Macaca fascicularis: one gene and its partners. The protein of the gene in region 6 purifies or fractionates together with the protein of the main gene of each other region. This does not show direct contact. Links are inferred from orthologs where the notes say so. Each region holds a gene or a part of one and is shown on either strand. Other genes may lie near its edges.

The links.
Region 1: the proteins of CDKN1B (region 6) and CCNE2 purify together in Homo sapiens (co-immunoprecipitation; 5 studies listed by BioGRID and IntAct, with this or other methods). This does not show direct contact. The link is inferred for Macaca fascicularis from reciprocal best matches to the Homo sapiens genes CDKN1B and CCNE2.
Region 2: the proteins of CDKN1B (region 6) and XPO1 purify together in Homo sapiens (affinity purification with western blotting; 4 studies listed by BioGRID). This does not show direct contact. The link is inferred for Macaca fascicularis from reciprocal best matches to the Homo sapiens genes CDKN1B and XPO1.
Region 3: the proteins of CDKN1B (region 6) and CDK6 purify together in Homo sapiens (affinity purification with western blotting; 8 studies listed by BioGRID and IntAct, counting the BioPlex papers as one, with this or other methods). This does not show direct contact. The link is inferred for Macaca fascicularis from reciprocal best matches to the Homo sapiens genes CDKN1B and CDK6.
Region 4: the proteins of CDKN1B (region 6) and CCNB2 purify together in Homo sapiens (affinity purification with mass spectrometry; 3 studies listed by BioGRID and IntAct, with this or other methods). This does not show direct contact. The link is inferred for Macaca fascicularis from reciprocal best matches to the Homo sapiens genes CDKN1B and CCNB2.
Region 5: the proteins of CDKN1B (region 6) and SPDYA purify together in Homo sapiens (affinity purification with western blotting; 3 studies listed by BioGRID). This does not show direct contact. The link is inferred for Macaca fascicularis from reciprocal best matches to the Homo sapiens genes CDKN1B and SPDYA.
Region 7: the proteins of CDKN1B (region 6) and CCND3 purify together in Homo sapiens (affinity purification with western blotting; 9 studies listed by BioGRID and IntAct, counting the BioPlex papers as one, with this or other methods). This does not show direct contact. The link is inferred for Macaca fascicularis from reciprocal best matches to the Homo sapiens genes CDKN1B and CCND3.

The regions. Positions count from the first base shown.
Region 1 is NC_088382.1:104,539,987-104,543,486, forward strand, and holds part of CCNE2 (G1/S-specific cyclin-E2), read right to left. Parts: intron 1,083-3,500; coding exon 947-1,082; intron 1-946. UniProt on the Homo sapiens protein: Essential for the control of the cell cycle at the late G1 and early S phase.
Region 2 is NC_088387.1:60,385,458-60,389,704, reverse strand, and holds the start of XPO1 (exportin-1), read right to left. Parts: upstream 2,801-4,247; 5' UTR 2,123-2,800; intron 1-2,122. UniProt on the Homo sapiens protein: Mediates the nuclear export of cellular proteins (cargos) bearing a leucine-rich nuclear export signal (NES) and of RNAs.
Region 3 is NC_088377.1:128,738,348-128,741,847, reverse strand, and holds part of CDK6 (cyclin-dependent kinase 6), read right to left. Parts: intron 2,731-3,500; coding exon 2,584-2,730; 3' UTR 1-2,583. UniProt on the Homo sapiens protein: Serine/threonine-protein kinase involved in the control of the cell cycle and differentiation; promotes G1/S transition. Phosphorylates pRB/RB1 and NPM1.
Region 4 is NC_088381.1:35,579,157-35,583,157, forward strand, and holds the start of CCNB2 (G2/mitotic-specific cyclin-B2), read left to right. Parts: upstream 1-1,201; 5' UTR 1,202-1,324; coding exon 1,325-1,348; intron 1,349-3,379; coding exon 3,380-3,508; intron 3,509-3,614; coding exon 3,615-3,728; intron 3,729-4,001. UniProt on the Homo sapiens protein: Essential for the control of the cell cycle at the G2/M (mitosis) transition.
Region 5 is NC_088387.1:93,404,336-93,408,444, forward strand, and holds the start of SPDYA (speedy protein A), read right to left. Parts: upstream 2,801-4,109; 5' UTR 1,332-2,800; coding exon 1,097-1,331; intron 1-1,096. UniProt on the Homo sapiens protein: Regulates the G1/S phase transition of the cell cycle by binding and activating CDK1 and CDK2.
Region 6 is NC_088385.1:15,479,739-15,484,013, reverse strand, and holds the start of CDKN1B (cyclin-dependent kinase inhibitor 1B), read right to left. Parts: upstream 2,801-4,275; 5' UTR 2,324-2,800; coding exon 1,825-2,323; intron 1,315-1,824; coding exon 1,193-1,314; 3' UTR 1,185-1,192; intron 1-1,184. UniProt on the Homo sapiens protein: Important regulator of cell cycle progression. Inhibits the kinase activity of CDK2 bound to cyclin A, but has little inhibitory activity on CDK2 bound to SPDYA. Involved in G1 arrest. Potent inhibitor of cyclin E- and cyclin A-CDK2 complexes.
Region 7 is NC_088378.1:129,633,430-129,635,589, reverse strand, and holds the end of CCND3 (G1/S-specific cyclin-D3), read right to left. Parts: coding exon 2,095-2,160; intron 1,646-2,094; coding exon 1,478-1,645; coding exon of another isoform or gene 1,272-1,477; 3' UTR 501-1,271; downstream 1-500. UniProt on the Homo sapiens protein: Regulatory component of the cyclin D3-CDK4 (DC) complex that phosphorylates and inhibits members of the retinoblastoma (RB) protein family including RB1 and regulates the cell-cycle during G(1)/S transition.

The DNA of each region.
Region 1 (3,500 bases), on a different chromosome or scaffold from region 6:
GATTCCATGATCACTAGACACTCAGAAAAAGTCAAAACCCAATGCCTTCTTGTGCTCACAATTAAAATACAATCTTTCCTTCTAGTCAAAATAAGGAAAAAGATGACCTGATGCAAAAGGACAACATGGTATAGTCTTAAAAACTGTTCTGATAGCTTCTGAGATCTATTCTGCCATGTGCTACTCCTCCAAAAAGTCTATGGTCTTTTTCCCTTAGAATGCTTCATCTCTGTCTTAAAGACAGACTACAGAGTAAATATCCAAGAGTTGGGGGAAAAATCAGTTTGTCATCAACATAAGTAATCATTTCCTCAATAATAATTTTAGAGACTTTTTTAAAGCTATTATCCAGAGAAAGGGAATGGACCTAAATAAGAGAGAAAATTCTGGCACAAATCTATAGGGGCTTCAGGATCACTATTCCTTCAAATTAATGGTATATTTCAGAAAAGAATAGAAGAATATAATAAAGAGAAGGTACCTGGACTATAGAGGGCTTAGAGCTTCCAGGTATCCATAATCTCATTACGGTTTAGGATATAGAAATCAGGATTCCTCATCATCAGTTGATTTTGTTAATACAGAAAAAGACTTCAGAGGGCCCTGAAGCCTAGTTCTAGTTCTTCACTTTGTATAGCATAATTCAAAACCTAATCAACTATACATTCCATTCACCTTGAGTATCTGTGGCACCTAGAAAGTGGCTGGTACATAGCAGTACCCACAGATAACAGGAATTCTGGATTGAGTTTAGTTATATGTAGTAGGTTTGTCATTTTATAGAGTCACTTTCCACTTTGGGTACCATCAACTACAGTAAGTACCTCAAAGAAGACAGCTTCCTGGGGATGAACAATAAACTCTGGAGAGTACATGGAAAGCATATTTACAGCTAAATATTTTCCATCATACAGAGACAAAGGAAATTTGTATTGGTGTAACATACCTCTAAAAGCCAGTCTAGAAGTATGGACCTCATCTGTGGTTCCAAGTCAGAATGCAGAACTTCAAGATGTTTTTCATGAACATATCTGCTCTCCTTTTTTAACATGTTTAGCCAGACTTCTTTTGAACATCCCCAGCTATGGAAAGAGAGGGAAAAAAACATAAATTTTTTTTTTTTTGAGACAGAGTCTCACTCTGTGGCCCAGGCTAGAGTGCAGCGGCACAATCTTGGCTCACTGTAATCTCCACCTCCCGGGTTCGAGTGATTGTTGTGCCTCAGCCTCCCAAGTATCTGGGAGTTATAGGTGCCTGCCACCAAGCCTGGCTAGTTTTTGTATTTTTAGTAGAGATGGGGTTTCACCATGTTGGCTGGGCTGGTCTCAAACTCCTGACCTCAAGTGATCCACCTGCCTCAGCCACTCAAAAGTGCTGGGATTACAGGTGTGACCCACCATGCCCAGCTAAAAACCATAATTTAAATTGTGCAATCCATGTAATATACAAATTCTGTTTCACATAGATAAAATTCAACTTTCAGACACTGAAATGCAACTTTTTTTTTTTTTTGGAGACGGAGTCTTGCTCTGTTGCCCAGGCTGGAGTGCAGTGGCTGGATCTCAGCTCACTGCAAGCTCCGCCTCCCGGGCTTACGCCATTCTCCTGCCTCAGCCTCCCGAATAGCTGGGACTACAGGCGCCTGCCACCTCACCCGGCTAGCTTTTTGTATTTTTTTTTAGTAGAGACGGGGTTTCAACGTATTAGCCAGGATGGTCTCGATCTCCTGACCTTGTGATCTGCCTCCCAAAGTGCTGGGATTACAGGCTTGAGCCACCGTGCCCGGCCTGAAATGCAACTTTTAATTAGAACTTGGAAGAAGCTCTTAGAGTAAATTAGAAAAAAACCTTCTACCTTAATTTTTGGAAACCATTTCCTTTGCATGAATAAATAGAAGCCTGAAATAACAGTGGGAACCTGGACTATGATCATCCAAACTTGCAAAGGGAGTGCTTTCTAGTCCCACTTATTTATATTTTTTTTTTTTTTTTTTTTTTTGAGACGGAGTCTCGCTCTGCCGCCCAGGCTGGAGTGCAGTGGCCGGATCTCAGCTCACTGCAAGCTCCGCCTCCCGGGTTCACGCCATTCTCCTGCCTCAGCCTCCCGAGTAGTTGGGACTACAGGCGCCTGCCACCGCGCCCGGCTAGTTTTTTGTATTTTTTAGTAGAGACGGGGTTTCACCGTGTTAGCCAGGATGGTCTCGATCTCCTGGCCTCGTGATCCGCCCGTCTCGGCCTCCCAAAGTGCTGGGATTACAGGCTTGAGTCACCGCGCCCGGCCCCACTTATTTATACTTTACAAAGGTTGCTGATAAAAGATAACCATGTTGCTTTTCCCCTAAGTGGTCTGAGGTAATCTGTGAAAATGGTTGGCTATTCACTTGACCTGGAAAACCCCAAAAAATCATGCAACTTAAGAGGTTCAAATCTTTGTGTTCACTGTAAGAACACTCGTGAAACTGCCCAGGCTATCAAGGGTATGCATATATGAAAAACCACGAAGTGGCCAGGCATGGTGGCTCACACCTGTAATCCCTGCACTTTGGGAGGCCGAGGTGGGTGGATCACCTAAGGTCAAGAGTTTGAGACCAGCCTGGCCAACATGGTGAAACGCCATCTCTACTAAAAACACAAAAAATTAGCTGGGTGTGGTGGCATGCCTGTAATCCCAGCTACTCAGGAGGCTGAGGCAGGAGAATCACTTGAACCTGGGAGGTGGAGGTAGCGAGATCACACCATTGCAGTCCAGCCTGGGCAACAACAGCAAAGCTCCGTCTCCAAAAAAAAAAAAGAAACACCATGAAGTATTTTTAAAATGTCACTTTACAGAAACAGCATGTACCATTCTGACATTACAATGGTGGAGTTGGTAGGTGTGCTGAGGCCAAGCAGTGGGACTGGACACAAGGTTGGTGGTCCAAAGAGTGCTGAATGTTTGCCGCACATGCTTAAAAATGCAGAGAGTAATGCTGAACTTAAGAGTTTAGATGTAGAGTCTCCGGTCATTGAGCATCTCCAAGTGAACAAAGTACCTACGATTTGCCAGCGGACCTACAGAGCTCATGGATTAACTCATACATGATCTCTCCCTGCCGCATCGAAATGATCTTTAGTGAAAAGGAACAAATTGTTCTTACACCAGAAGAGGAGGTTGCCCAGAAGAAAAAGATATCCCAGAAGAAACAAAAACTTACGGCACAGAAGTAAATTCAGCGTTAAAATAAATGCAATTAAAAGTGAAAAAGAAAAGTTTTCTCAAGAGCAATACAAAAATTTAAATACGTAAAGCATGTGATCACAGTCAAGAAGTCTCAATCACCTCTAAATAGATCATCTATAGCAGGATCACCTATGGGGTGGGTAAGGTGGGACAGAGTCCAGGGAAAGGGGGATTGGTGAGTTTAAGTGTCTGATTCCATTAAATTCCTTATTAAGGCCAATCATAATACACTACATGTTTTGTATAAGCTGTACCTTTAGTATACTCATGGACTAGAAAAA
Region 2 (4,247 bases), on a different chromosome or scaffold from region 6:
CAGAAAATGAGTAGCTAATTTCTTTACACTGTATTTGGACAAACTAGCTTGGCAGGGGGGAAAAAAGGCGTTAATTCCTGGCTATTTTATAACAGCTTAAAAATGTCCATAATAATGGCAGCAATTTCAATTTTAATGCAAATGTCTCATTTAAATATAACGTCTGTTACAACAGATTAGAACTCCAAAAAATGAGTCACCTATGACTGACATGATGTAAAAATAATGTGAAACTCAAGAAATTAGGAGTTCAAGAATTGGTCCATTATTGACAAAACTGATGAGACTTCAAAATATTTTGTAGTAGGCATTAAACAAACTTTTTTAAACAGCAGGATACTTGTTACACACCACAAAAAAAACCCTTAAGATCTAAAAACTGAGAGGAAATATATATTCCACAAATGAATGTGTAAACTCTCCACCTTCAACTACTATAAAATTTAAAAGATCAGAACAATCTTAATTATTTGAGGCTTAAAAGCAATGTCCACAAAGCATCAAGATCTACGTATCAGAAGTTTTCAAATATTTCGGTTAATTATCGAACAAACTTTTCACCTATTTACTCCTACAATAGTTTAATGCCAAAACAAAAAAGGATTAAGAAAATGACTCTTCCAAGTTTCACTTTCAAATACACTGTCCTTATAGAATTCTCCGAACTAGACTGATGTGAAAAACGAGATTTAGAATAGAAGGATTTAAATACAGTAGTTTGCCATCCTTAGAACTAGCGGCTGTCTTCGAAATGACCTACCTATTCTTGAACTGTACATAGTACAGAAATGGCGGCTTTGTGGTCAATGCCAAGCACATTTAGTCCCCCAAACCAAGCCGCTTCCAAAACATTCTTTCCACTAACAGCAGCGTCCCACACTTAAGATATACAATCAGACAGCAAACAAGTCAAAGAGGGAGAGGTGTAACCACGAACGCTCATTCCCGTTGGGCTCTTCAATCCTAAAATCCACTCACTGGATAACATACACTAGGGATTATCCAGCTTAATGGATAATGTTGTGACTCTACAAGTGACCCCCAATGCCAGTTCCTATCCAAAACCCAGGAAATCATAACCGTTGCTTAATAACTTCACACTAGGTGAAAAAAAAAAACAAGTCGCTACAAGGCGAAAGACTGACTGCTCCTTAGGTGTGTGGGCAACCGCCTGCTTCATTCAGGAGAAACACACCTCACTAGGGCCCGCCCTCCCCTGGCTTCCCACCCGAACCGATTTGCAGCCCTTCTAACTATAGCACACGGGAGCACGCACTCACCCCGCCCATACTCGGAGGAGGCATTTAGACCAGGCGCCTTAAGTTCAACGCCCCTTTCTCTATGCAGCATGGCCTCGGCGTGATCAGAGGAGGTCCGGGCTGAGCCAGTAATGAATGCTTCCTCTACTACACCACTTCCTCCCACCCAACCCAAACTCAGACATCGGAATGAAGGAGAATCAGGGCATCCTCCACTGTACGAGGCCAGCAGTAAATGGTTTAACCAACTTATCACACACAAACCCCTGAAAAGGAACTACAAGACGGAATCCCATGTGCAGGCCCCTGAAAAATTCATCTTTCCTACTTCACATGCCACTCTGCAAAAAACCGGAGAGCTTTCGAGTTTCCTTGCTGGAGGAACAGGGAGTCGGCAGCCCCTCCCTCCCCCATCCCAAGCTCTCCACCGAGGGGGCCACGTGATGCAGGCGGACGTTTCAATGCTGCTGCACTAAATATTTCTGGAAACTTCCACTCCTAATAATTTACAGAGATGTTCCTGAAATCACCCCAACTTCTCCCCAGCCCGTGGGGCTGGGGAAGCCCTTCCACCCCGCGCGGGGCCCCGTTTCACTATCACGCTCCTCGCCTTCCTCCACCGCCACCCGCACACGCGAATGACCCAGCAAGCGCTCCCCTCCCGCGGCCGCCTCCCCGCCTCCATCCCCCAGCGGCAAAAGCGGCTCCATTCAATCGCAGGCTCCGCTGTGGGCCCGGCGCGCCCCCGGCCCGCCCGCCGCCTCCTGGGCTCGCTTCCCGCGACCGCCGCGCCCCACGCTGGCCTCCTCCCGCCCGGCCGCGCCGCCGCCCGACCCTCGGCCCCAAAGACACAGTCGACTTACCCAGAGATTGAACCAACTGCTCCTTCCTTCCTTGTCGGGGGATTAGGGCCAGGGAAGGTGGGGAGGGGGAGAGGGGACGAATCAAGGTGGGTTTCACAGTTTTCCCACCTTAAAAAAAGAAATTAAAAAAACGGAGAGGAAAAGGGCAAAAAGAGCTCAATAATATTTACTATTTCAGGGACGCTTCCCCCCAACACACACACCCACCCGCCCCCCAAAAAAGAAGGGGAATTAATCTGGGGAATAAATGCTCCCGCCCGGCTGGGGAGTGAGGGAAGGGGGAGGGAACCGGGTCAAGTCCCAAAGATTCAGCCCCAGGGGGACCCTCCAGCCACAGGCAGCAGCAGAAGCGGCAGGAGTAGGGGGTGTAGAGTCCACACGGCCGGGGGGACGCTCTGCTGCCAGTTGCAGTCCGACTCCCCCCTACCAAAACACGGCTCCCTCTCTCACGCGGCTCCGGCGCTGGGCCCCCCCCAGGCTCGCCTAAACTTTCCCCCCTTCTCTTGCTCCTCAGCGACTGGTGGTTCCCCCCTCCCCCTCTGGGTGGTTGCACGGACTGCAGCAGCAAAGACTGGAACAGGCACCGCCGCCGGGGCTGTAGCTACTGTTGCTCTTGCTGATGCTGTAGCTCCCGCTGCTCCTGCCGCGGCCGCTGCAGCCGCTTCTCCCCCTCCTCCTAGTGCCTCAAACTCGGAACCGGTTGAAACCGGTTCAGACTGGGAGATTCCATCTCGGTTGAGTTTTCAGCCCATGGCGCCGCGGAGCGTTTGGAACCTGGGCCTCCGCCCCCAGCCCGCCCTCCTATTGGTCAGTTCCAGCTACAGCCGCGCCATGAGCCTATCTCTCATTGGCCTGAGCGCCAGTCAATCCCACCTCAAGGCTCCACACGAGCCCGCCGCTTCGGCCCCCGCCTCTTTTCAGCAGCGATTTGCCCGCAGAGTGGGGGAGGGGAAGTGGGGAGGGTCGAAAGGCAAGAGGAGAGGGGTGGAGGAGGAGGAGGTGGGACGAAGAGCAGGGCTAAGTAGAAAAGAGAGCGAAGGAAAGCCGCGTGGAGGATTCGTTCGAACGAGCTGTCAATCAAGTGCAGCCCGCCCTCGAGCTCTCGACTTCCCTTCCCCCTGCGGCCCTCACCCTCCCAGTGCCTAGTTCGCAGGCCCGGCCTTTCCCGCCCGCTCATTGGCTGGGCGCCTTCGGTGACGGAGAGGGTGGGGCGCAGCTCGTGAGCTAGTGGCGGCGCGAGTTTGATCGCGGCGCGCGGCGGTGTTCGATCTGCTTCCCGGACTCGGCCGGCCCGCCCCCACCGGCTCCCGCCAACCTGCGGGGGCCTGAGCCCGCGGGAATTAGGATCCGCCCCTCAGATGGGGGATGCGTTCGGAAAAGGGATGGCACACCCAGTTGTTTTGAACTCTCGGAGGGGTGGAGAAAGGAGGGAAAGGAACACTTCCGAGGCCAATTGTAGGCCCCAGACCTCTAATCCATTTTAGAGGCCTGGGTTGGGCCAGGTAGCTGAGAGAGAGGTTGGGGTGAGGCGCAGGGCGTGCATTCTTGGCGCCTCGTGATCTTCTCAGGGTCTCGGAAAATATATCGAAATACTTCTTGGGAAAGTCTTAAAATTTCAACTCTGCCTCCCCAGGCTGGAATTTGGCCGCTTCGACAACCAACCTTTCCTGAAAGCCAAAACATTGTAATCCCAGGTTATTGGTTTGACAGCGCATGTTTTGGCTGGGTGAGCTTGCATGCCAACTGCGTCCCACCTGGTGCCCTTGATCTGCAACACTCAGATTTTCCTTTCACCCTAGCGGCACTTCACATACTAAATCATCACCAAATAGTATTTTCTGTGAAAGTCACATGCACGTTGTCTTTCACGTGGTTGCGTCTCTTGTTTGTTCCCAAGCGTCCTCCAAATCAGCTTTACAGATTGTTCTTTGCTTAAGAGCAAATAGCCCACCAAAATTTACTAGGCCCTTTGTGCCACCAAGAGGTAGATAAATGGTTTATTGAAGTAATACAATTTTCTTTAGCAAATGTTCGTTCACGATGGACTATGACTAACTTCAAAGCACCACTTATTCTAACTCCCCCTCCAATAAAGAAAAACCCAACAACTCAATGTTTAGATGCA
Region 3 (3,500 bases), on a different chromosome or scaffold from region 6:
TCAGAGAGGCTGAGATGTCCTTTCATTCTGTGTCATCAGAAGATAATTTGCCAACGATTGAATGCCAGAATGTTTGTGCTTCAATTTTTCTTTACAAGCACTGCCTAGAAATGAGTCAAAAGCACATGCTAGAAATAAAAGTTGAGCTCTCTACTCATTTAAAATTCTAAAGAATGCTGAAAAATTCCAGTTCAGAAAAGCTGCATTTTTCTTGAGTGAACTTATGAAAACAGTTTTACAACAGCAAAAACTAAAGTTATGTTCACTCTAGCCATGAATACTAACCAAAAAGCTCATGATGAATCAGTGCATGAGTTTTTAAACTCAATTTCTAGGCCCCAGCAAAAATGTCTTTGTATTTTGACCCTTGATCAAAGGAAAGGCAGAACTCACTTTTCTATGTGAGACTTTGAGTAGACCTGACCTTGAATGCTATGGATTCATTATATCTCAAGCATTTATAGTACTGACAACACGTAATCAATGTTGTCACAAGGAAAGTAGAAAACATTCGTATGGCCCATCTTCTTTATTATCTTGCTCTAGAAAACAATGTTCCTGTTCCTCAAGCTACTGAATTAGAACAATGTTTAGTACAGCAATTAAAAAAGAATAGTTCCCAACCCCAAAAGCTCTTCAGGAGAAACATCTCCTAGTTTCTTCTCTTGTTCAAGATAGTCATATATCATAATAAGCTGCAAAGAATTCAGTACAACTTGATAATGCATAAACATCATCTGAATTATTTTCTGAGTGCAGCAACCTCCATTCTTTGAAAATCCTAACTCTAAACATGATCTAACTGTTGCATGATCTAACTGTTGCATGCACTATGAGTCAGAAAGCACAGGTGGCTAAACTTTCCAAAAGATACTTTCTGTGTCCTCTGGTTACTACAGCCAACTGAGCACTAAACCACTTATAAGGCAGAGATGGTATGAAATATAAAGGACTGTAGAGAAAACAGTAAGAGAAAAAGGAAAAGCTGTTTACAATGCCCAGGCCAGGCTGGCTCTGTAGAGAGCAGGAGTGAGCACAAGGCACTAGAAACAAGCACAGCCTGGGGGATGGAGAAAAGATCATTTGATAGAGTAAATGTATAGCCCTAAAACATAGCTAAAGACATACCCTCAGATAAAGACACTGACAATATCTTCTATAAAAATGTAAAACACAAAGCAATAGTTTATAGCAATCTGTGTGCTGGTGATAAAACAAAACAAGATCCTACTCATTATTTAGGTAACAAAAGTGAACACCAGGTAGAAGGACTGCATTAGAGTGAGAACATATGGGACCCTGTTAGGTTTGCAGAATTGAGGCCATAAACCATAATCTGAGACTGCGAATTTATGAAAGGTTCATTGAAAGCAAGCAAACAGGTGGTGCATGGGAAAAGCTTAAGCAATCTGTTATTAGTTATACAATGGTAGCAATATATTTCAGAAGTGCTGGGAGATAGACAAGATGGATACTTTGCCAACAAGGCAGTGTGTGGCAGAAAATACAGTGTAATAGATGAGGAAAATTTCAAGGCCACTCCTGTCTCTAGTTAGAGAGAGAACTACTCTCCAAACCAAAACAGGAAAGAGTTTCTGATAAATTCCTAAAAACAAAAACGAAGTAACAACAAACAACAACAACAACAACAAAAAAAAAGGGAATAAAGGAATTTCAAACCAGGAAATAAAGGCTTTCTATTTTTTTTTTTTAAATCTATCTGAGATACACTCCCTAAATCTATGGCAAGTAATAAAAAGCTTACAGGGTATTTTCCAAAAGAAATGATAAAGCATGATATCATACAGGTTAAAATAGACTTACAACAAGTAAATTCAGCGTTTTGAAGACTAAATAGAATGCATGCACATCTCTTAAAATATACTAGAATTTTTTTCTCCTTTTTGCTGTGTGTATAAAACTTCACCTTTTACTGCTAGCAAATTTACTGCTTTTGGCCAGAAAAGAAATGCTGAGGACATGGGGTTAACTTTCTAGGGTTAACTGTCTAATTTGAGAAGACCATTTTGGTGGATCACCTTCAGTGAACAAATGCCTGTTATTTATCGATCACCTTGAGTCTTTAAAACTGAATCGTTCTTGCCGTTTACAAAAAGTAACACTTTAAGAGATCACAGAATCTCTCTCTCACACACACACACACACACACACACACGCACACATACTCAAAAGTACCAAATCAGGCCCGGCAGCTGCAGAGAGATTACATCATAACTCAGCTGTGCCTGGATTACCCACTCCACACTGGCAGCATTCAAGGTTAGAAAAATGAAATGGCAGCACAATTGGTCAGCAGCTTCTCTTCTTCTGGAATTTTTCCAGGTTCTTGAAACAAACAGACAAACAAACAAACAAACGAACATAAAGCTGCAATCACTCTTGCATTGATTTCAAAACAGTAAACTGGCGGTTTCCTTGGAGAAGCAGAGCCTGTCCAGAAGACGGCAGCTGGAAGGCCTCCAGACAGGCAATCCTCCACAGCTCTGCAGGGCTTGCTAAGGGGGACCCTTGAGCCACCAAGGGTGTTCTCCGCAGGATCAGCTTAAGGCAGCTGCTGAGGCCTCAGGCTGTATTCAGCTCCGAGGTGTTCTGGCTGGGCGGCAGGTGGGAATCCAGGTTTTCTTTGCACCTCTCCAGGTCCTGGAAGTATGGGTGAGACAGGGCACTGTAGGCTGATATTCTTTTGGCTGGGTTAAATGTCAAACACTTCTGTAATAAAGAAAAAAATAATTGGTTGATATACAACACATCAATGTAGATAATGTACTTACAGAGTTATCCCTTTATTCACTGTCATGTTAAGCACATCTAGAATGGGAATGAGTATTTATTTAAAGGGACACTAAATAATATGGAGACAGTACTCACATATATCCCTAATGTATAAAATGCCCCTCAGGAGAAGACCCTTTTGGGTGCCTATGGGCTGTTTCCTGCCCAGGATTTCTCTGTAAGCCATTAAAGTATGCATATAACTTTATTTAGTAATTCTTCCAGTGCTAGCAAACTTAGTGCTACAGTTGGAGTCTTCACCGCAACTTCTTACCCTGCCCCAAGGTTACACCACTCAGAGGCAGGGATATCTTCCTTCTAATTAATAACAAGGTGCCACAAGGCTAGCAGTAGCTCTCTCAGGGGACCCTTAGATTCAGTGTGAGTCACTAAACTCTGTTCCAGGCTGACAGCTCAAGTGTAGGGCTACCAAGGTGAATGAGCTGATGCTTGCACTTAAGAAGCTCCTGGTCCTAGTCAAGTGGTTTGGGCAGTTTGGCTGGGCTACTGAGGTAGAAGGTGAAAGGAGGGAAAGGGAAATATTTGCAGTAGCAGCAGTCTCTGTTCCCAAACTGTCCATACCTAAATTAGAATGTGTCCCTAATTTCAGTCTCATTTCCACCCCTACTTCAGGTAATCTTGTTACTCAAATCCTCCACCTCTCCTTCCACCAATGCCTCCTGCTGGGTGCCTAGCAGGTGGCAAGC
Region 4 (4,001 bases), on a different chromosome or scaffold from region 6:
GTCTGTACCACCACGCCCAGCTAATTTTTGTATTTTTAATAGAGATGGGTTTTTACCATGTTGGCCAGGCTAATCTTGAACTCCTAACCTCAAGTGATTCATCCGCCTCGGCCTCCCAAAGTGCTGGGATTACAGGTGTGAGCCACTGCGCCCGGCCGTTTTTCTGACTTTTTAATGATGGCCATTTTTGCAGGAGTAACGTGGTATCTCCCTGTGGTATTAACTTGCATTTCTTTGATGATCAGTGATGTTGAGCATTTTTTCATGTATTTGTTGGCCATTTGAATATCTCTTTTGAGAAATATTTATTCATGTCCTTTGCCCATTTTTTGATGGCATTATTTTTTTTTCTTGCTGATTTGAGTTCCTTGTAGATTGTGGATACTTGTCTTTTTTCCGATGCATAGTTTGCAAATATTTTCTCTTATTCTGTGGTTGTCTGTTTCTTTCTTTTGCGGTGCAGAAGCTTTTTAGTTTAATTAGGTCCCATTGATGTATTTTTGTTTTTGCTGCATTTGCTTTTGGGGTCTTAGTCATGAATTCTCTGCTTGGGCTGATTGTTAGACGAATATTTATTGAGCACCAACCATATATGACAAACGATGTACTAGGCGCTGGGAATACAATGGAGAACTTACATGAATCACCAATCACACAAATCTCTTTTTATCTTTTTTTTTTTTTTTTTGCCTTACTTGAGAATTTGGGTTTTTGAGTAAACGCCATTATTCCCTTTTTTTGTTTTAGCACACTTTTATGTCTCAACCACCTAACGCACTGCTGCCCTGAGCAACCCGGAGGGGCCGGTTCCTGCACTCCGGCCAACACAACCTAAACCCCAACACGCCGAGGACGAATAAAGGCCAACCAACTTCCGCCCACCCAGTACAAACGTTGACAGACATTTGTAGATGAGGCCTTGTCAAAATTCAGAGGTATCCTACGTCTGCTTTCCCAATGAGACAGTTCCTTTTTGTTTGTCTCAGAGACTGGGATTTTTTTTTTTTTTTTTTAAAGACTGTAGGCAAAAAAAACACCCCAACCGGCTGTTGGGACAATCAAACGGGTCTAAGAAAATTCAGCCAATGAGAGTGCGAGAGTGCCTCTGTGTTGGCCAATGAGAAGAGCGCGCCGTGCGCAGGGCCGCCCAATGGGGCGCAAGCGACGCGGTATTTGAATCCTGGAACAAGGCTACAGCGTCGAAGATCCCCAGCGCTGCGGGCCCGGAGAGCAGCCCTAACGGCGCCTCGTACGCTAGTGCCCTCCCTTTTCAGTCCGTGTCCCTCCCTGGGCCGGGCTGGCACTCTTGCTTTCCCCGTCCCTCATGGCGCTGCTCCGACGCCCGACGGTGAGTGTGTTCGGCGACCGCTGTCGGAGGCGAGTCCGTTGGCCCCACAGCTCCCCTGTCGCTTCTCTCATTTGCTCCGAGCTTCTCCGTCCCAACTTAGACTGCTTTTCTCTTCTCCGGAGCTCCCCGCTTCGCCCACGTCCCTGGCCCTGCGGCGGGTCGTCTCCTGCCGGCCTCTCCCCGTCTGGATTCCGCTCTCCCTGTGCCCCTCCCTGCTCCGGGGTGGGAGAAGTGTAGGAAAGCGCTTCCGAGATGGCACCTGTCAAGCGAGCCCCCAGAGCACTGGGCCTAGTACTCAGCGAGCGATCCCCAAGTGCTCTTCATTGCCAGAGAGTTATCTCCTTACACGTTCCTGGGATTTCCCTCCCCCTTTCTTAACAACTCCTTGCCAACTAAGGGATCTGTGGTGGGGGCTGGGAGGAGGACTGGAAGGGTTCTGTAGGCAGTAAAGTGTGCGTGTTTCATCAGGCAACTGCCAGGCTGTTTTTCTGATTGTTCACATTTCTTTTTGTATGACTTTCCCATTTATTGCTGCACGCTAAGTCTTCCAGGCTACGTTCACTAATACATGGGTTTGTCCCCTTAAAAAATTTATTTACTCAAATGTAATAGAGATTTTTGAATATAGTTTGGACCAACGTGGCAGACTGAGAGAAAAGGGTCCAAATTCATTTATTTCATCCTTGCAGAGATCAAAGTGTTACGATGTTTTGGGTATTTTTCCTGTGGGCTTGAATTGTGCCGGGACCTACTTTTTTCCTTTGCTGAAAGCTAGAGGGCCCTGACACACCTGAGTTCCATCATCTTGGCTATAAGGTTAGATAAAAGCTGCCAATTTTCCTATCCAGATGAATTTAAATTTAGTCACATTAGCTGGCTTCTATCCATAAGCATTACATTTTCAAACACTTTTTTCAGATTGGTAGTTGCTGCTGGAAAAAATTGAACAGCCCGACTTTTGAGAATCCTAATAGATTGAACATATTCAGCATCTAATTAATATCCTTTTGTGGATCTAAGTCCAACTGACAAGTAATTTTTTATAATAATGTATTCTATAACGTTATTTAATAGTCAGAACCTTTCTGTTCAGGGAAGGCTTGAGTTTCCCTTGTCCCTCTATCCTGGTAGATCCACTCAGACCCCTTGTTGGGAGTTTTATTAGAGTCAGGACCCTGAACTCTGAGGGATAGGACATGCTGGTTTTTTGTTTTTTTCTTTTTTAATGAAATGTTTATCTCTTCTATAATAAGCTTTTTTTGGTATGAATTGCTTTTCCTAGCAAGTTTTATTTCTAAGCACATTATGTCTAAAGCAGGTTAAAGTCAACTGACAATTTTTATTTCATACAATTCCCACCTTCCCTGAGTTTGGGAGCTAAAACTGTATTATCCAAGGAAACTATTTCCATTCTAAATATCCTTAATATAAGAGAAAATCCATTCTATGGCAGCCTCATTTTAAAAAGCTGCACTTCTAAAAGATCATGCATACAGGAGCATTTCTTATTTGTAAAATGGCATAAGAATCAAAGCTAGTTTAGGTTTTAAACATCTGGTTTTTAAACAACCAGACCTATTATTAACTATTAATATTATAGCTTTATAATTTTTCATCTTAATTTACGTATTACCAAGCTCTGTAAAGGAAGGTTTTTAAGTATATGCCTTTAACTTGCAGGGATCTCTACCAAGTGATATGGGTACTATGATAAATAATCATTAAATAGTAATAAGCTTTGAAGTTCTCTTACAGGCCCACTTGAATATTCAGAATAGTTTTGCAAGGTTAGTGGGAGGATCTTTATTACAGATAAAGTAGATGGGTGATTTGCCTAATTTAGAGTGATGTTATTAATCACGAATAGCCTTTTTTTAGACTTCCTGAAATGTACCTTTTCCATCTTGCAAATAGATCTTGACGTATTGTCCTTTCCCAAAGCAATTCTAAATTTGAGTATCTAACATTAGCAAAGTATTTCAAATTCTTTCAAGGTTTCATTACCTTTTTTTTTTTTTTTTTTTTTTTCAGGTGTCCAGTGATTTGGAGAATATTGACACAGGATTTAATTCTAAAGTTAAGAGTCATGTGACTATTAGGCGAACTGTTTTAGAAGAAATTGGAAATAAAGTTACAACCAGAGCAGCACAAGTAGCTAAGGTAACAATGATGAAGACTGAATGTGAATACAGAGGCCGATTCTGTATAGTGCTGAGTCTCACAACACTGGCTGTCTTGCCCTATTCATGTTTCTTTTTCCTTATAGAAAGCTCAGAACACCAAAGTACCAGTTCAACCCACCAAAACAACAAATGTCAACAAACAACTGAAACCTACTGCTTCTGTCAAACCAGTACAGATGGAAATGTTGGCCCCAAAGGTAGGAAGTTCTGAATTTACAAACATATTTAATGAGGTAGCCTGTTTTTAGCCAGACTACAAGGGTGCCGTTATCATTGCTGCACCTTTTAACGAACATTCATAGCTAGAACTCTCCTTTGAAGCAACAGTGTAGGAAATGAGTATATACACCTTTTAAATGATGGTACTTAATTTAACATTATGACCTTGAAGCTGGGCATGGTGGCTTATGCCTGTAATCTCAGCACTTTGAGAGGCTGAGGCAGGAGGGTCACCTGAGGCCAGGAGTTCA
Region 5 (4,109 bases), on a different chromosome or scaffold from region 6:
CTGGGAATACAGGCATGCGCCACTGCACCCAGCCTCTATTTATAGTTCTTAAGTTACTTAAAATGGTACAGCCAGGTATTTTCCCGTTTCTCATGATGAGTTTTGGTACTAAAAAAGTTTGCAGGTAATAATTTTGTTCTGCTCTTAATGAAAAGAAAGGGAACTTTTATTAACATTCTAAATCCTGATGGGGAAGCATCTTTATATCTTTTTCTACTTATATTCCTTACATTTTTTTCCTTTTTCATCTTTTCATTTTGCTTTTCTTTAAATCGTAACTAGCTTGCTTTAATGCACCTGACCTTCCTCTAGAAACAAGGAAGCTTGTTACCTAGATCTACCGGACTGTAGCCTCTACTTGACTTGATTCATTACTCCAGATATTTTTCAGAACTCATCTATTCTACCCTTTTTTCTAATCTGTTTACCTTATTACCCTACCTCCAAAAAAAAAAAAAAAAAAAAAAAAAAAAAAGATTCCCTCTCTTTCCTAGTTAGGAGTACAGTACTATAAAGAAGTTTCTTTTTGCCAGTGTTAAGAAATGTATCAGCAAAGTAGCACTGTCTCATAACCTAAACAAATTTAAACTCAGTTTCATTATATGGACATGATAAAACATAGTTAATTTTTAACAATGTTCCCAAACTGTTATCCTGAAACTTCTCTAGTGGGACCAAGCTTCCTATTTTTCTTGGGTTTAGCAGAGAAAGTCCTGGGAAACCCCTTAGGCCCAGTCAAACTGGGTCAGTTAGCTCACCTGATTCTTTATGTAGTATTTAACTTTAGGTCAAACAAAACTCATGCCATGGGCTATGAAGTTGAATTGCCCAGAATTTACATTTGACATTTGGATTTAAGTAGTCTAGAAGCTAGATGAGTATGAATTTTTAATCCGTAAGGAAACAAAACAAACAAAAACCCAACATTGAAAAAAAAAAAAAAGACTAAGTAAAACAAAAACAAATTTGGTTGGAGATGGGAAATTTAATACAAAAATAATGATATCCTCTTTGATTAGCATGAAAACAATTAGATGTTTACATTCTAGGTTTTTAGTACTTTATAATTACCACTATTACAATATTTTAAACCTACCAAATAATTTAAAGAAAGCAGTCATATCCTGACGCTGTATAACCAGACAAGGTCCTTTGGGGCGTTTAGATTTGTTGTTATTATGTGTATTTTTTTCAAATGTTTGCCAATTATCTTTAAAAATAGGACGCTTCATAGTAATGGGCTTTTTAGGCTGATGTGATCTATTTGACCCTGATTTTACATAAACAGTAACAGTAGGTGGTGTCTCACAACACATCTGATTGTGCCTCATTTTGGTTTCCCAATATTCCTGTAAAAATAAAACATACAATTATTCATCACACACATTCATTTCATATAAAAACAACTGGATGATACTACCATATGCAGTCATATAAAATGTTACTGAACTTGTCATTAAAATGTTATTTGTGACAGTGACTCCCATTAAAAATTGCTTTTGAAATTCAGTGCTAGGAAAAGCTATGCTTCCTTTGGGTAACAGATAGACATCCTCTTCCCAAATAATAAGATACTGTATGCCATTTTGCTTTGGCTACAGAACTTGACCAAATTTGAAAGTTAATTATAGAAATGATGCTGACTTCATAATTTATTTGTGGTCTTCTTTTTTCCTGCTAATTTTTTCTATTCTGCTTGAATTGACATAATTTTATTATATGGTTGTTATATGCTACCTCAAAATTTTTATAAACAAGGAAAACTATTTCCAGAACTTATTATCAATATCAATTCAATTGTATTACAAAGCACACCCCCCCACACCTACACACACACAAAACCCCATATCTCTTTATTGGTAAATTCCTTGATATATTATAAAATTCACTTATTCAATAAGCATTTATTGGTATTTATTGAAAAGCTGAAAGCAATTCTAGCAAAATGCAGATGAGCTTTGAAGGCCTTTCAAAAATTGGTCTAATTTTTATTTTACTTACTTTTCTGTTTTCCTTTTTTTCTCGTGTATGTGTGTGTGTTTGAGACAGGGTCTTGCTCGGTCACCCAGACTGGAGTATGCTGGCATGATTACAGCTCACTGCAGCCTCGACCTCCTGGGCTCAAGTGATCCTCCCACCTTAGCCTCTATTGTAGCTGGGACCACAGGTTTATGACACCACACCTGGCAAATTTTTTAAATTTTTGTAGAGATGCGGTCTTACTATGTTGCCCAGGCTGGTCTCAAACTGCTGAGCTCAAGCCATCCTCTTGCCTCAGCCTCCCAAAGTGCGGGAATTACAGGCTTGAGCCACCATGACTGACTGGCCTGTTCTAATTTTTAAAGTTGTAAGTGTATGACAAAGCTATTTGAGTGACTGATTATAAGTGTATATGAATGTATGTTGTTATAATCTAATAAAATCTGAGACAAAGTTAATCTATCAATATTTAATAATATATGTAATCATCACCTTCTTTGGTGGTGAATAGTTCACATAATTACTACACTTAGTATTATTTTTGTGGTCAAATATTTCTAGGGTAATGGGAAATGGAGGTATGAATAGGCAACACAGGAAACTACTCTAGGACCCTACTGAGAACCTCTGAATGCAACCTCACAGTGACTCAGGCAGCCATGCCTCCCTTGGTGTTCAAGGAGTGAGGTATAGATTCCCCTTCCTGACCCTCAGAAATTTCCCTGCTGAAGGAAGGACTGGAAAATATAGTAAGGTTAGAGCAGCACTGTCCAAAATATAATGTAAGCCGCATATGTAATTTTGTATTTTTAGAGCCACCTTACAAAACAGATAAAATAACTTTTAATAATAAAGTTTATGTAACCCAATATGTCCAAAATACCATTTTAACATGTAATCAATATAAAAACCAATGAGATAGTTCACATTCTGTCTTTGAAATCTGCTGCATGTTTTCCTCTTAAAGCATATCTCAATTCTTTTTTTTGTTGTTGTTACTTTAGATGAATATGCTTACATACAAATCCCAGTTCTGATACTAATTTTTCAACAGTAAAAGTGAAATGCAGTCCTATTTTAAAAAATGAAGCAATTTGTAAGAGAAAAATATGCTCCTTCAGTTTTTAAAGTAAAAATTAAATTATTCAGTTTCAAGTGTTTAATAGCCACAAGTGGCCAGTGGCTACCACATTAGATAGTACAGGGCTACATTTTGAAGAACTAGGCAGAGAAAATTATACTTATCAAATTGCTCCTCTCATCCCATCTTTCTTCCTAGATCCTAAAGTCCTGCCAAATTGAAGGCAATTATGTACTTGGGGTGCGGGTTATAAACTCCATAGAAAGAGGAATAGGTGATAAATTGAGTCTTGAGACTTGAGTAAGAACTTTCTGCTCTTTCCTGCCCACCTCATCTGGGAGACAGCTGGAGGCTTCATCTGCAAATTTTTTTTAAAAGTAAGAGCAGCCTTAAATCCAGATAGAAGAAACTAAACAGTAGTCAGGCTTCTCAAATTCTAGTGTGGACTTATCAGTGGTATAGTACCGTGGCTAAGAATTCTGCTTCAAATTTGAGTGTTGGGGCTAGACTTGGGTGGAATGTACCAGAACACAAAATAACTGTGGCACATATTCCAGAAGATAAGTTTTACTCAATGCTAATAGCGTAACCTAAAATAGTGCTTTTATATTAAAACAACCATGGATATGTCATAAAATATAATCCAAATTTTCTATCAATCAAAAAGGTAAAATATGTCCGCAGTAGGTGTCTTTACACTATTCCCTTATGTATGTTATGTATGTGTTGGGATATTTCATATACAGTTTCAGAAAACTGAATGAGAAGAAAATGTCTGAAATACCCCAAGAGGAGCTTCATTGACATTAATAAGCAAACACTGGCAGGAAAGTTGCATAGAACAAGCTGAAGGAGAGAAGCTATCAATGCTAGTCTTGGTCAGTTTCTACCTAGGGGTATCTTTTAATTTTGCTCTTCGTTTAGATATACTAAGAGAATGAGAGTTCTGATAGAGCAAGCAAGAAGAAAAGAACAAAAATCAAATTAAAATATGAGCTGGCCGGGCGCGGTGGCTCATGCCTGTAATCCCAGCACTTTGGAAGGCCGA
Region 6 (4,275 bases):
ATGGTGCTATAAAATAGAGGTTCTATAGTGCCGTTTTGTATAAGCTCTGAAAAATATAAGATATGTAAAGTCACATATACAATTTAAAGACACAACACACCTGAATCCCACCGTAATCCCTGTTGTTTTAAAATTTTTTATAAATGAGGATTTAAAAAGTTAACATCAATATTAAGATCGCCTCATATGCTAAGCTACGTGTGTGCTTTAGAAAATAAAGAGGTCAGTCTTGGTCTATAAGAAGCTAACAAACTATTAATATATGTAGTTCGATCATTATGAATAGCCAATCCATGTACATTTGGGGACTGAATTATTCAAATTAGCTATTTACAGTGATCAGATTCTTGTGCATGGAAAAATCTCCACTTCCTTTGTGCTGGGCTGACCTGCGGTCACCAGTCTTGATATTTACTACCCATTTCCCCTACAAATATCCAAATCACCCTGTTACGGCACAATTAGCATACACTGGCTGACGTGTTCCTGGATTGCTTACTGACGAGAGTTAATTTAACTTCTGCTTTGCAACTTCAGTGTTACCAGAAATTCTGTAGAAACTTTAGTAATGTTTTTTATCTTTCCATTTTGGTTTTTGCAAATACTGGTTCCTTCTCTCTCCAAACTTAGGAGCAAACAAGGAAAGTGACAGTTTATGACAATGTCAAAGAACACAACATACCACCCACTGACATCTCTAATCCCTTGCATAACCAAAGGTGAGCAATTTCTACCAAACATTCCCCCTTAAAATTGAAACTTAATAATGTACTTGCCATTTTTCCATGTATGGCTCAAAATCTGTTACTGACTCAAGCTGAACCTCTGGGAAATGAATTCTCATGAAGTGGGACTGAGGGAGTACCCCAGTTCTTGTTCGGATGGGCGAAGAACCTATTGTTCCCAACATATTTTAGTGGGACTCACAGGGAAATGACCTTCTTACCCGATGGGGCCTTGGTTACAAGTAGTTGCTCTGGTCTACTGTTTCAAGAGAAAGTATCTCTAGGCATAGAAGAATTACAGTATCCCCAACCTTCCCATTGCTACTTTTTTGACCTCACGAAAGTATAAACAAAACAAAACCCCAAAAGATTGTAATCTGCCAGCAACCAGCAAGATCAGGTATCGTGAGGTCTGATGGCCCCGGGTTTCAGTACGTGCTCCTTTAGTGATCAACCCACCTAGCTGTTTACGTTTGACGTCTTCTGAGGCCAGGCTTCTTGGGTGTCTGCTCCACAGAACCGGCATTTGGGGAACCGTCTGAAACATTTTCTTCTGTTCTGTTGGCTCTTTTGTTTTGAGTGGAAGAATCTAAGAGCAGAGGAAATTTTTAAAAAGAACACACAATCTTTATTAGAAAAAACAATGGCTGGCAGAAGTTGGCCCAATAGTCGCGGGACGAAAAACCCACTCCCTCCACCCACAATCCAGGATCCGTCATCCTCAGTAGCCTTTAAGGACACAAAATGAGGTTGTTTTCAAAAAGAAGAAAGTGCATTCTCCGCCCCAGAGCTCTCTCCCTAGCCAGGAGGCGGACCGTTGATAAACATCCCAACTTTGTCACATACCTAGGGGTTGCTAGTGGGAGGGACGGCCATGTCTTAAGTTAGGGAAATTATCGGATCTTACCATTTCCAGTTTCTGACTTAAAAGTCACAGACAAGCAGTGGGCCAGGTAGCACTGAACACCTAAGACCAATAAAGTTCGCTCTCCCAAAGCTACATCAGAATACGCCGAAAAGCAAGCTAAGGTTAGCACCCTCCAGCAGGCAAAGCGGGGCCCCAGACACAGACTTTCTGTGGTTGGGAAGGGGTCATTACCGTCGGTTGGGAAGGGGTCATTACCGTCGGTTGCAGGTCGCTTCCTTATTCCTGCGCACTGCTCCGCTAACCCGGTCTGGCTGTCCGACGGATCAGTCTTTGGGTCTACCAAATGCGTGTCCTCAGGGTTAGCCGGAGCCCCAATTAAAGGCGCCGCCGGGCGGCTCCCGCTGACATCCTGGCTCTCCTGCGCCGGCACCTTGCAGGCGCCTTTGGGGGCCCGCGGGGGTCTATAGTAGAACTCAGGCAAGCTGCCCTTCTCCACCTCTTGCCACTCGTACTTGCCCTCTAGGGGTCTGTGATTCTGAAAATCGAAATTCCACTTGCGCTGGCTCGCTTCTTCCATGTCTCTGCAGTGCTTCTCCAAGTCCCGGGTTAACTCTTCGTGGTCCACCGGGCCGAAGAGGTTCCTGCAGGCCGAAGGCTTGGGGTGCTCCGCCTGCCTGGCGTCCATCCGCTCTAGGCTAGGGCTCCCGTTAGACACTCGCACGTTTGACATCTTTCTCCCGGGTCTGCACGACCGCCTCTCTCGCACTCTCAAAAAAACAAAACAAAACAAAACCGAACAAAACAAAACGCCCCTACGCAGCCCGAACCCCTCTCGGAAGCCCAGCGACTGGCCTCGGAGCCAAAAGACACAGATCCGGACAAGCCACGGCCCGAACTCTAGGAGCGCGCAGGGGCTGCGGGGAAGCCCCGGCACGGCCGCCGAGAATCTCCGCTGATCAAATGGACCGGCGAGCGAGAGGGCGGGGAGGGGAGGGGTCCAGGCAAGCGGAGAGGGTGGCAAAGCCCGTCCGAGTCCGGGCGGGTACAAGCCCGCAGGTCCCGCAAACCCAGCCGCTCTCCAAACCTTGCCGGCGTCGGAGTCGCGGAACCGTGAGCAAGCGGGGACAGGGGAGGGGGAGAAAAACACCCCGAAAAGACGAGCCCCCTTTTTTTAGTGGCCCAATATGGCGGTGGAAGGGAGGCTGACGAAGAAGAAAATGATTGACACGGCGAGTCTATTTAAACAGAGGAGGAGATCCATTGGTTGCGGCGCCGGGAGCCGCCCCGCCGAGGCTGGCGAGCGCGGCCTTAAGGTGGCCCCGGCTCGGTTCCGCCGCCTCCCCGCGTTCCCGAGCGCGCCGCCTCCCCGAGCGCCGCCGGGAGATTGGCTGGTCGCGTGACTGCTGGAGGGGTAGTGCTGCCAACAAACCTGCTCTGGCTGGCCTCGGAGAAATTAAAATTAAGACAAACAAACTAGCCAAACGGCCGGGAACCTGGGGCGGGGCCTGGGGTTCGGGGCCCGGCGCTGCACTGGCGGGTGCGCAAAGGCGCCTAAGCCCCGACCTCCCTCCCGCTCCTCGCGGGGGAAGCCGGGGCCTGGACCAGAGGACCGCGAAGATCGCCGGCAGCTCGCTTGGAGCCGGGGTGGCGAGCTGCCCCCAGCTCGGCCCTCCCCGATGGCCCCCACCTCGCGGTCTGCGGGGGAGGCCGCGGAGCGTTTGCTGGGGGGCTGGGCGCCCCCCCTGCCGGCGTGCCTTAGCTGGGGGTGGGTGGAGGCGGTGGGCAATGGTTGGCTCAGCCTTAACCCAGAAGTTTGTGCCATCCCTGGGGAGGCTGGGGGCCTAGGAAAGAAGCCAAGGCGAACGTCTTTCTTTCAGAAATTAGCCAGGAGTAGACGCGGCACTTATCATGAACTCAAGCTCTCCCTCAATGAAAATAAGAAAGGAACTCAAGATTAAAAAAAAACTCAAGTAGTCTCTCAAGTCCCTTAATACACTTTGTAGCTGTCTCAGACACATTTAGTTTTGAAAAACGAGGGTACGCCCCTGGCCCAGGATCTTGTTTCCCAAGCACAGTTAAGGCCATGGACATTGGCTGCGTGTGGGAACTCCTCTCTTTCTACTTTTCTGTTCTTTCCCGGGATTGTAGCAGTTTCCTCTACCTGACTCCAGCCGCCAAATACAACAGCTCCTTCCTTCCTCCACCCTTCTCTCTCACCAGATTTCACTGCTCCAACAAACTCAGAACAATATTCAGATGCTAGTGAATGCTTTCAGAGGGCTGAAGAGTGAAAAGACTCCCCTCGGGGTCAAACTCCAGATGATGAAATGATTTTTAAAACCACCACATCTATGTCCTAACGTCCGATGCTAGTATTCCAGCGTTTCTCTTCTCCCTTTTGCAACTGGAAATTTCTCTCTCAGTGTGGGCTTGAGCACCGTGGTGGAAGGTAAAGTAGGACGATGAGCAGGGCTGCCCCAAGAGCTCAGTGGATCTTCAACTGCCTCCCCACCCCCATGCCCACTACCCATCATCTTGGTTTGAGCCAAAGTTAATGCATTTTACTGGAAACCAACCTTCCTTTCTAACCTTAAACAGCAGCAAAGTTTTCTTATGCACCTATGCTACAGATGAACTTCATGTGTCGCTTGTTTTCTTAGCCACATCTTGTTTGTCCACTTT
Region 7 (2,160 bases), on a different chromosome or scaffold from region 6:
CTGAACCAAGCCTAACTAGTACACAAAACTCACACTTGAACATGTACCAGCTACCTCACTTAGCTGCCCACCTGTGTTGAGCAACCCTTCCAACATCCACTTCCAAAAGCAAAGTGCATGTCTTCAAGATAAAAGGCCGTATTTATTGTAATATTTATGTATTTCTCAACCATTTGACATGTAAAAACCAAGCTATCCTTTTTTTAACATGTGTCACTCATTTGAGTGTTGTGCTTCAAGCCCCATTTTTCCCATGAGACCTGTGGTTTTTATTGTGCAAATTGCATGGCATAGTGATTTTCAGGAACACATAGGTCACATTATAAAGAGAACTGATTATATTTGGGTCAGAGACCATATAGCCCGCAAAGCCTAACTATCCAGCCCTTTACAGAAAAGGCTCAATGATCCCTGCTTTAGACCACTGGCTTCCGCCTCCTTACCTCATACAGTCCAGAAATAGACTTAACCCACACACCAATCCAAGAAGCCAAAGCCAGTTTTATTTCACAATCTTTATTACAGTAGGATGATGGTCCTGGGCCACCAGCCTAAACCTTGTGGCCTTAGGAAAGACCTGTGTCAACAGGGCTTCCTCCCTCTCTAGACAGGGGCTCAGCCACCTCCAGGGCATCCCTGTTGCATTTTCTCTGCTGGAGGATGGGGCAGAGGGACAACAGGAGAGGAGGGCATGACCCCACCCCAGGCTGTAGCAGCTCCTCGGCCACAATGATCCTTTTGCCAGTAGCAGAAGGGAGGAAAATAGCAACCACCAGGGTTACCACCACTTGTGGGATGGCCAGGACCCCGTTATGTCCTCTTACAGTTGTGCTCAAAGCAATTAATAAATTAAAATGAGCCTTCAGCAGCAAAGCTGTCAATCACACAGAAGCTGAGCAGAAAACAAAGCAAAGAGGAATTTATAGCTTCTCTGGCTGAGGCCTAGGCCCCTCCCTCTAGGAGCAGCTGTCAGCACGGATTATATAGGGGCCTCCAAAGTACTGAGGAGTCATCTAGACTATTCCCCCTCATATGTGTCTATCATGCATGAAATTTCAGAGGGACCCCAATCCAAATGCAATAACCCTAGAAGGGGCAACACCTTTAGAAGGCACTAGAGCATTTTGGCAGTTGAAAACAGCCCCCAGGGGTGGGGGGCGCTCAAAAGGAATGCTGGCGTTATGTATCCAATTCTGTCCCATCAGCCTGCCCCACCCCCAGCTAGAGTTGGGAAAGGCGCTGCTGGTCAGATGCAGGGAGGAGGAGCTTGACTACCCACCGAAATGCAGACGTGGCTGGCCAGGCCCCTTAGTGCACACTGCGGGGATGGGTAGGACCAGACCCCTTGGGCTTTGTGAAGGGGGAACAGACGCCCCTTCAGGCTTCAGATGTGGTGTGGTTTGTTCCTGGAGGCAGGGAGGTGGGTGGCAGCGGCCCCTCCTCTGCTTAGTGGCCACTCCAGAGGGCCTCTCCAGGGCTACAGGTGTATGGCTGTGACATCTGTAGGAGTGCTGGTCTGGCTGGGCCCTTGGCTGCTGGAGCCCCGGGGGGCTTTGGGCGCTGGGCTGGAGCTGGTCTGGGCGGCTTCCCTGAGGCTCTCCCTGAGTGCAGCTTCGATCTGCTCCTGACAGGCCCGCAGGCAGTCCTGGGAACATGGGAGAACAGTGAGGACTGAACACTCCCCCCCATAGCATCTGGCAGCAGGTGCAGGGGAAGGACAGCTCCCAACACATGGGGAAGTCTGGGGAGGTTAGGCCACAGCCCAGCCCCAGGAATCGCTCTTCAGTTCTCAGAAACTAGCAAGAGGATGTGGCAAGGGAGTGTGAGAGCAGCCCTGCATCTGACACCGAATCCCCCACCCCCACTCCAGCACACCACTTGGCAAGAAAAGAGCCCCTAGGGCCAGTGCCCTTCACCCCACCCAAGATACTTGCTCTTCTCCAGACCAAGGCAGGAGATAAAAAGCCACAAAGCCCCAAGGTTGTGAAACCAGGACTCAGGACCAGGTTGGGGTTGGAGGTTTCCCTCTACTGGAGGCTCAGGGCATAGCACTATATGAATGGAGAGGCTGCTGCCCAGCTGCCCAGCACTCACCACTTCAGTGCCAGTGATCCCTGCCAGCAGCTCTGTAAGCTCATCCCCGGACATGGAGCAGGCACC